2 linked regions of the Arabidopsis thaliana genome follow. The protein of the gene in region 1 interacts with the protein of each later gene in a pairwise test. Each region holds a gene or a part of one and is shown in the gene's direction. Other genes may lie near its edges.

Region 1 (4,495 bases):
ATGCGGTGAACAACGCAGGAGCGTTAACGTGAAACGCCGCGTTTTTCGCATTACTGTTCTCTGAACTTGTCGGCGAGTCTGACGGAGCTCCTTCCGGTGAAGATTCATCCACCGGTGGTGCTGGCGGAGAAGCTGCGGTTGGAGAAGGTGCTTCCACAGGAGACGGTGACTTAGCCGGGGTCGGTGTCGGTGCACTCACTGGCTCCGGTGCCGGCGCCGGCGATGAAGATTTTCCGAAAAGCTCAGCGGGAAGGAGCACATTATCCACAGTGAATATAACAACAGGTGTCTCATCGACCACCGTGTCGGCGAGTCTCGACGGACCAACGCCGGTATGGAGAATAACCTCGTCACCGGAAGTTGACGTCGTTAAATCGTATTTACCGGCGCCGTTAGTGGCTAAAGTGGAGATAGCGTCTTTGTTAGTCTTTAACGATCCTTTGGGTTTGTATTCAGCGAGGGCGTGATACTCTAGGAGCGAGACCACCTCAGCTTGTGTGAGATTCGTCAGATCTGGTACACCTCTAGCTTTAAAAGCTTCATCGGACGGTGCAAAAACCGTCAAGCCTTTTTCAACGGTGGATTCGAATGTTTTAATAACACCGCTCGATACGAGCAAATTCGCGAAGGTTTTGCAACCGGCTTTCTCGAGAAGTCCGGTGATGTTGCTAACTCCGGCGGAAGAAGGAGCAGGTGCGGTTAAGATTCCGGGAGCGATGATCGGAGCGTTGATTTCGAGAACGGAGATGTTGTAAGGGATTTGTTTAACGGATTTGGTGTAAGAGGAATCGAGCTTGGAGCCAGGAGCGGCGGAGCCAAAGCCGACTTTGCCTCCTTTGAGATCGGTGACGTTAACGAATCCTAGGTTCCCGAGAGCGTGTCCGGTGGTTTGGTAAAGCGTGGTGGTGAGAGTTGTGCCTTTAGAGAGCTGATGGAGTTTTAAAGGATCGTAGTAGTCGAGGAGGACGAGGAGGCTGAGAGCATTTTTGACGACGGAGAGTGGGTGTTTTCCGGCGAGGGAAGACATTGCGCCATTGTTGAGAACAAGGACGGTGATTGTAGTGCGGCTGTTGATTTCGTCGGCGAGTTTTGTTTGAGAAAGGTAGTTGTTGAATGAGGAATATTCCGGCGTATCAGAGAGGATTTGAGTAATGTTATGGCCGGAGACGGTAGAAGCTACGGTGAGGAGAGATAATGTGAAAGCGAAGAGAGTGAAAGCTCGTGATGTCGCCATTGGAATTTGGAAGGTTGAGTTGAACTGTGGAGAAGAGAAAGTGAGAAGACAAAGAGAGTGATGAAGTTAATAAGAAGAAGAAGAGGTTAAATGTTAACCATGGTTATATTGAAGAGTTAACTATGGTTAATTTGAGAACACGTGCTGCTTCCTTTTGCTAAAAAGCCTGTAATCACGAAAATGGGTGGGCTTTGAGCTTCTTTCTTTATGGTTCGTCCTCTTCCAAAAGCAACCGAACCGAACCGTTATATCATTATCAATTTATCATCCTTGTTAGAGTTAACCATGGTCAAGTAGCTAACTAAAATTTGAGCTTATTTATGGATGCTCATTAGATAATCATCCAAAATTTTGTAAAAGGCACTCAGATAAAAAGGATTTAGATATTTTTACTTGACAACTAGTAATATCGTTAGTACTTAGTAGACTCATAAATAAGTGTCGTTATCAGTTTTAAATACTTGGTCAATAGTTGGTAACATCTTTTAGAAATGGAAAGAAGGTTCTAATTGCCCGACACAGCACTGATAAAGAAATTATTATTTTTTATAAAAACGACAAATCAAAATACGTAGTTTACTACTGTCATGTAAAAATCTGCAAAAGTTTTATCATTTGATTAGAAAAAAATAAAATAAACCTTCACAAATCAGTAAACTATTACTCCGTATTAATTAATGGGCGGAGATGAGGCTTTAATTCCTTACTTTGAGCCCAATTATGAGGCTAATAACAATGTGTGAGCACGTGTCACTCTTCAGCTTCACATGATTATGTATTGGGCCTGTAATAAGCCCAAACTTCGTAAGCTGGTCAAAAACAACGACGAAGAGAAAAAGCTCCGCCGCAGAATCTGAGATCGGATCTTTAGAGAGAGAGAGAAAGATGCAGAGGGACGTGTCGAGCTGCAACACTTACAACTATGGAGACGCTCTCTATTGGGACGCTCGTTACGTGCAAGACGCGCTTTCTTTCGACTGGTACCAATGTTACTCTTCTCTCCGCCCTTTTGTCCGCAGCTTCGTCTCTACTTCTTCACGAGTCCTCATGGTTGGCTGTGGCAACTCCCGTAATTCTCTCTCCTTTTGCCAATAGATTTGAAGAAGTCTGTACCAGTGATTGAATTTGACTTGAGCAGCAACCAAATTTAATACACTGTGATTGCCCTGTTCTTCTCTTTGGTGTAGTGATGTCAGAGGATATGGTGAAGGATGGGTATGAGGACATCATGAATGTTGATATCTCTTCAGTGGCTATTGAGATGATGCAAACCAAATATGCATCTGTTCCTCAGCTCAAATGTAACACTTCTTTTCACATCTCTAGTTTATATTACTTTAGCTTTAGAAATATGTAAAGTAAGAAGCTTTATCCTATTATACTCTGTTTTTACCCAACAGATATGCAAATGGATGTTAGAGATATGAGTTACTTTGAAGACGATTCCTTTGACACTATTATTGATAAAGGTATGTTGTAGCAACCACCAATTACTCTGTTTTTATGGTGAAAAGCTTAGAAGTGATATATTGTTACCTGTTGTTGCGGCTGCTGGATTGTGTAGGAACCCTTGATTCATTGATGGTACGGAACCTGATCTTTTGTTTCTCGTGTTCATGTCTACATGTGTTTTTAAGTTTTCTTGTTTTGTGTGATACGGTGGGTTCCAGTGTGGCAGTGATGCTCTTCTAAGTGCTTCGAGAATGTTGGGTGAAGTTAGCAGGTCACTAATATCATCATGGCTGCTCCTGGATCATCTCATATAGATGCCAGTTTTTGGATTCTTTTTTAATATATATATTCTCAATAAAACTCTTCTCTTTTTTCATATTGCAGGCTGATTAAACCTGGAGGGACCTACTTTTTGGTAACAAACATACTTTCTCTTGCATTCTATGTCTGTAACTGTTCATAGTCATTGTCACTGGTACTAGAAGGATATATAAGATATTTTGTGTTTGTTGTGGTGGTTTGGTAGATAACCTACGGTGATCCGAAAGTGAGAATGCCTCATTTGACTCGTTCTGCGTACAACTGGAAGATCTCCTTATACATTATACGTAAGCTTCCATGTTTTGCAACAAATTTTCTTTTGAAATTGTATTCTTAGCTTCATTCCTTCCGTGTTCTTGCAGCAAGACCAGGATTTAAAAGGCCAGAAAGTTGCAGCTCGTCAGCAAAGTCTTGTATGGAAGCTATACCTATAACAAGTGAGGGAATGCTGCCACATGATTATGTTCTGGAGGATCCTGATTCCCATTTTATTTACATATGCAAGAAGAAGGATGAAGATGAAGAAGCTCAACTACCCTCATACCCATTAATGGAGGATGTTTTGTAGTGATGGCACGCAGAGGCTCAAACAATGCAAAATTGTGCATGTGTGTTTGTCTTTTTGATCCCCATTTAGACCAGTCGATCTATTGTTGTATTTTATGTGTCTTGTGATCTTATCCCAATTGATAGGTCCGAGTCTCAGAATTGCTCTATAAACTCATAATATACGAATAAACATCAACCTTTATTATCTCAGCCTTGGACAACAATTTAGGCTTTGTAGATGACTTTTGAGCTGCATTATCTTTCGATGAAGTTAGTGATCGTTTTGACGTCGGGGTCAATTTAGTGATCTTTGAAGTGTTCTTAGAAGTCTTGATAGACGAGTTGCTGTTTTCATAGTTAGCCGCCTCGGAAGATTCAGTGTCAATCTAAACAAAAATAAAATTCAAAATTTTAAAATACATAAGCACTTGAAAATTAAATGTAATGGAACGTTAGAGTTATTACCTGATTTGTAGTTGCATTTGAAGGGGTAGAGACAATGTTCATGTCTGAATCAGGTTCAGTCTAAAAAAGATATCACCAAAATAATTACTTATCCCTAAATGAAATTTGTTGTCTATCTAATGCTTATTCAGTAGCAAACCTCGCTGGTAGTTGGGTTTGAAAAGCTTGAGACCATGTGAGTGTTTGGATCAGTTGTGTTCTGTAAATAAAAAAAATCACATTAATGTTGATACCATGAAAAACGAATGTAACTAAAACGCCAAAGACAAACTGAATTTACCATTTGCAATAAATTTTCCTGAAACTTTTGAACAATTCCGGGTTTGTCCGTAAGTTCATAAACCCTAAAGATAGATGGTCGTATAATATACGAAAATGAGGAAGCAAAATAAATATGGCTAGGCTCTTCACTTGCAAAGCAAAGGACGGCGATTATGGATACTCGTTTGAATGTTTTTGGGAGGAACCAAGTCT
Region 2 (4,578 bases), on another chromosome or scaffold:
GTCTGATCCTGTACTTCCGACGTAATCAGCTTGGCCTGTTCGTCCTGTTGTAGAGTCTCGCCTTTCCGGTCGTTGGCCGCTTGTTGGCTTAGCTCGGCGATGAGACGATCGTCCCAGACTATACCCGAAGAGCCCTGTCGACGGAAAGAGATGGTGGATCTCTGAAGACCCGCCATGGACGGCGCTAACTGTTCCTCCTCCGTTTTTTTCTTCTTCTTTTACTCTGTTTTCGTCGTTTTTGATGTGTGTTGCTAAAAGTGGTTCATCATTGTGTTTCAGACTAGTTCATTTCTTCCTCCTCTTTCTTATCTCTTTATTAGAAGGCACTTGTGTCTTTTCTAATTAATTTTCTTTTGTCGTCTTATTATTTCAATTTTATATGTTTTTTTTCTTCTGGTTCTCGAATTATCCAACCAAATATAATCGCGATTATCATGTTTAGATGCGTAATCATTGTATTTTATTTGTTACGTATTTTAAACGGGAGAGAAAAAACTGGGTCAAAGCAGCGGGTAATTATGGGAGTAGAATAGTACAAACAACGTTTTTGGGTGGTATGTGTTGAAATTTCAATTATCTTTTTTTTTAACATTAAATTTAGCTATAGCCACTTAATTATCTGCCAAAAATGATTATTTTTCTTTTCACGTTTCAGGCAAAGATCATCGCATAGCATATAGTTTTATCAACCATAATCCAGCATGGCTTAATTTTTTTTAATATTTCTTAAGGAAATCAAGCGTTGGTGACTCGTCGTTGTTCATGCTTGATTTGGTTAGTTCAAAGTTGAAACTTACAAGTATTAGTAGATGACTGATTCATCGAGTTTTAAAATAATAATCACGCAAAACTCGAACCTAATATTTCCTGAAATATAATGGCTCAACTTTGAGAGGTGTGGATTATTTTATTTTGTAAGATATCTTGCTATATGGCTTGCTGGACCATCCCATTTGTGTAATGTGGAGACAATCCATTCATGTGCTACTTTTTTCATATGGACAACAAAATTTGCGTGTTCATATCGTAATTAATCCCCAATTAAATCTACATCGCAAATCTAATATACCCATGCATTTCAAATCTCGCTACAATTATGGAAGTCCTTGAGTTGATTATTGAAGCAGCTAAAACGTAAGCATGCGAAGAAAACGGCATTTAGCTTTAAAAATTTGATGATTGTCAGAAAGAGAAAGCAAATAATTGGAAAAATAAGAGCGTCTTATCCGTAAGTGTAGATTTGATGGAACACCAAATATTTTCTATCAATTTTTTTTGGTGATGGTTATTTTGGCAAAACCAACATGATCAACGGGTTTTTTTTTTGTTAATTGTTAGCCATCTAAAGATATAGTGCATATAAACAAAACAAAATAATAAGAATAAAAGAAAGTGACACAATGTCAATCGCATCAGTACCAGTCAAATGGATCATCCTTATCCTCAGACCCAAAAGATTTACTTACATTAGGGAGTAGTATTCGGATACATGTACACGCATATAACTTCCAAATGTTGAAAGATGTATAAAAACATGTTAGACATTTACCAGTGACTTAAAAAAATATAAGTGATTTATGGTAGTATATATCACACTATATTATGAGTCATGACACTCAAATTCAAAATCCGTTTAGTACAAAAGGTTACAAGTCTAGAATCGATTTTTGTAATTTTTTTAGTATATATGACATTGGTTTGACTGTGTTACAAAGTCAAAGTAAAATCCCAAAAAAAGAAAGAGGAATATTTTGGTTCTGAGAAAAGACATAAAAAAAACAATAGAGAAACCTTGTAAAATCCCGCCAAAATTTTCACAGAACCCCTAAAAAAGTTTGAGTGTTGCCGCCATCCATAGATTTATTCCACCATCTTCATCTCTGGAAATCCTTCGCCGCCGCGAGAATTGACATTGTTTTGATTGCATATAAATCTCCGCAACAGTATGGTACGTTTTGTTTAGATCTACGGTTTTGTTATCATCCGTTAATTCGGCGACATCAGCAACGATTTGCTTCATCCACAAACCGAATAGGTTCGGTTTAAACATAAGCCTGGGATTTGAGTCAATTATTTGCATTTGCCTACTTTTTTCAATTTTCTGGGCACGCCAGATGTTTGATGAATTGCTCGAATAGATAGATGTCAAAGTGAAGCGAGGAGACCCGCCGATTCGACATGTACGGGAGAAAAGGGTATCAGCTTATCAAAGATTTTGCCACCGGAGAGAAGGGTCAGCTCAAACCTTTCAACGTAAGACTTCAAGCTCCCACCTTTATGACACTAAATCTCTCAATTTATACAGGCTATTGAAATTTTTGAGTATCTGTAATCTAACGTATATCAATCTTGCAAGTTTGGCCAGTAGGTTTTGATTATAGGTGACGGAATGTTAGCAAATTTCCAGTCCTGGGTTGATAATATCCAATTCTGTAATTAGAAAGTATTATCTTGGTTAGCTATGAGGTAGATTAGTTCTTTAACCTCTTGTATTTCTAACAGAGCAAACTCTTTGATGAAACAATCGAAGAGTGTGACCAGAATCACCATCTTATCCAGTCCTTGATAAGGTATTGATCCCCTTTTTTACACTGTTGCATTTTTTCAATCCATCACAAAAGACTTACTTCTGATTCATTGAGGTTGATGTTTCCATTTACAGGAAAATGCAACAAGAAGGTTTGGATGTTCAGAACAACAGAAACGCTGACCACTATGGAGCACTAATTCACCACCTTGCTTTGATCCGGAACAAGCGCTGCCTCATGGCTTATGTGTGAGAACCACGTTTCCTATCAGTAACACTATATCTGGACACTCAATTTCTTAAAAATAGCTGCAATTGGTGTCGCTATGCAGGTACAACCGAGCAGAAATTGTGCGTGATTTGGCATGGAGAGTAGGGCTTGAACTTCTCGACCTTCCCTCTGAAATCCAAGAGAAGCTCACTACACTAGAGAAGGAATACTTCAAAAACCATTCGGTTGCTCTAAAATCATACATGGGAAAAGTAGGAATCGAGTTGAATGTCGTAAGTCCTCTTTCCACCACCCTGGCTTTTATTAATTAATTGGATTTTTCTTGTTTGGTGGACTTGTAACTAGTAATCTCCTCTTGATCCATTTCTTGAAGGATATGGTCCCTCCTAAAGATCCTTATATCAAGGTCAGAATTTTGGATGATATTGATGAAGGAATCGTGCTGAGTGACAAAACAACAAATTTTGCCCGTCATTCTATGCATTTCCTCAAACGTACTGATGCGGAACCATACATTGCTCGGGTCAGTCTTTTTCGTTATTCCTTCCCTAAAACTAGAATGATCTAAAGCCCATAAACTTCCACGAACTGAGAAATTCAAAGAATGAGCCTTGCTCAAATTCGCAGAGATGTAGATAGAACCTTGATTACAGCCTTCCCTAGCAGGTTTAATAGGAAAAAAGAAGACTGCTTAAGATAGATTATAACTGAAAAAACGAAACTATAGAATTCCTGAAAGATCTGAATAGTGATGCAAATAGAAGTTTTAGGTTTAGAATATGCGTGAAGTGTAATCTGAAGAATTGACTTTTGTCACATTTCTTGGTACCGTCAAGATTACATAAGGTCGAAACATTTCATAAACTGTGAGTGTATTGGATTCTTTGGTTTTCCATGTGATGTTTGTCATAGTATGCCAAAGGAGTTGCTAAGCAAATGCAGTCTGATTCTACTGCCTAGCTTAAAAGGGGTCTCGTGTCCCATCATTTGGATAAAGAGTTTCTAATTGTTGAGATGTGAATGGGATAACAGGGCCAAATGGAGGAGCTGACAGGATGATTGATCTAATCAGAAGCTGTGGTGGGCTCAGATGAATCACGGTCGGGTCTGTGATCAAAGAATGTAAGCTTACTTAGCCTTGTATAATTGTAAGACAGGAACATGAAACCAGAAACCTCATACTCAAACTCATGTAACAATTATTTATCTTACAAAGTTACTTCTGTAGTGCATAACATTCACTAGCAATAATGCAGTTTTGACAAGCTCAAAATTACCTTTTTTCCAATGGACAATCTTTCAAGGCTTCAATACTCAGTCTTTTTGTTACTTGCTGGCTTTTCACTATAGAAGTGAACCTGCAGCTAAAAAGATAAGAATCTGCCACAAATGCTGCAGAAAAATGAGAATATGTCATCTACAAAACATACCTCAAGATTAGCTTGTAAGATCTGAATAGTGATGAGGCATTTACTCGAACGATGATCATTGTCACATCTCTGATTAATGTAAACGATAAACGGATTTTTGATGTTTCCATATAGTTTGATATTGTCTCTTTCCTTAGGCGTTTTCAAAACCATAAACATAGGTGAATGTTATTTACAATGTCTCTATAGTTATGATTAATTTGAGTTGCTACTCATCTTGTTTCTGAAAGGAGGAATTCTTGCATCTTTTGAGGATTAGTTTTTTGACTTGCATACAGAAAATGTGTTCTTAGTCTCTTGCCTTCTTAGTTGTTACCACCACTGCTTCGTCAATATTTTATTATTGGATTCACAACAAAAAAATTCCTCTTTATTTTTTATGAGAAAAG

Evidence for each region.
Region 2: the proteins of AT3G60910 (region 1) and PSF1 interact in a two-hybrid assay, tested with the Arabidopsis thaliana proteins (one large-scale study listed by BioGRID).

What each region holds. Positions count from the first base shown.
Region 1 is NC_003074.8:22,499,608-22,504,102, forward strand, and holds AT3G60910 (S-adenosyl-L-methionine-dependent methyltransferases superfamily protein), read left to right. Parts: upstream 1-1,936; 5' UTR 1,937-2,119; coding exon 2,120-2,303; exon of another isoform or gene 2,304-2,421; coding exon 2,422-2,535; intron 2,536-2,634; coding exon 2,635-2,703; exon of another isoform or gene 2,704-2,798; coding exon 2,799-2,818; exon of another isoform or gene 2,819-2,904; coding exon 2,905-2,957; intron 2,958-3,070; coding exon 3,071-3,101; intron 3,102-3,212; coding exon 3,213-3,294; intron 3,295-3,369; coding exon 3,370-3,575; 3' UTR 3,576-3,720; downstream 3,721-4,495. Other genes in the region: FLA10 (FASCICLIN-like arabinogalactan-protein 10), read right to left, coding at 1-1,234; AT3G60920 (beige/BEACH domain protein), read right to left, coding at 3,721-3,942, 4,022-4,081, 4,161-4,220.
Region 2 is NC_003070.9:30,157,298-30,161,875, forward strand, and holds PSF1 (partner of SLD five 1), read left to right. Parts: upstream 1-1,743; 5' UTR 1,744-2,178; coding exon 2,179-2,253; exon of another isoform or gene 2,254-2,502; coding exon 2,503-2,570; intron 2,571-2,662; coding exon 2,663-2,776; intron 2,777-2,859; coding exon 2,860-3,031; intron 3,032-3,132; coding exon 3,133-3,327; 3' UTR 3,328-3,766; downstream 3,767-4,578. Other genes in the region: AT1G80180 (uncharacterized protein), read right to left, coding at 1-176.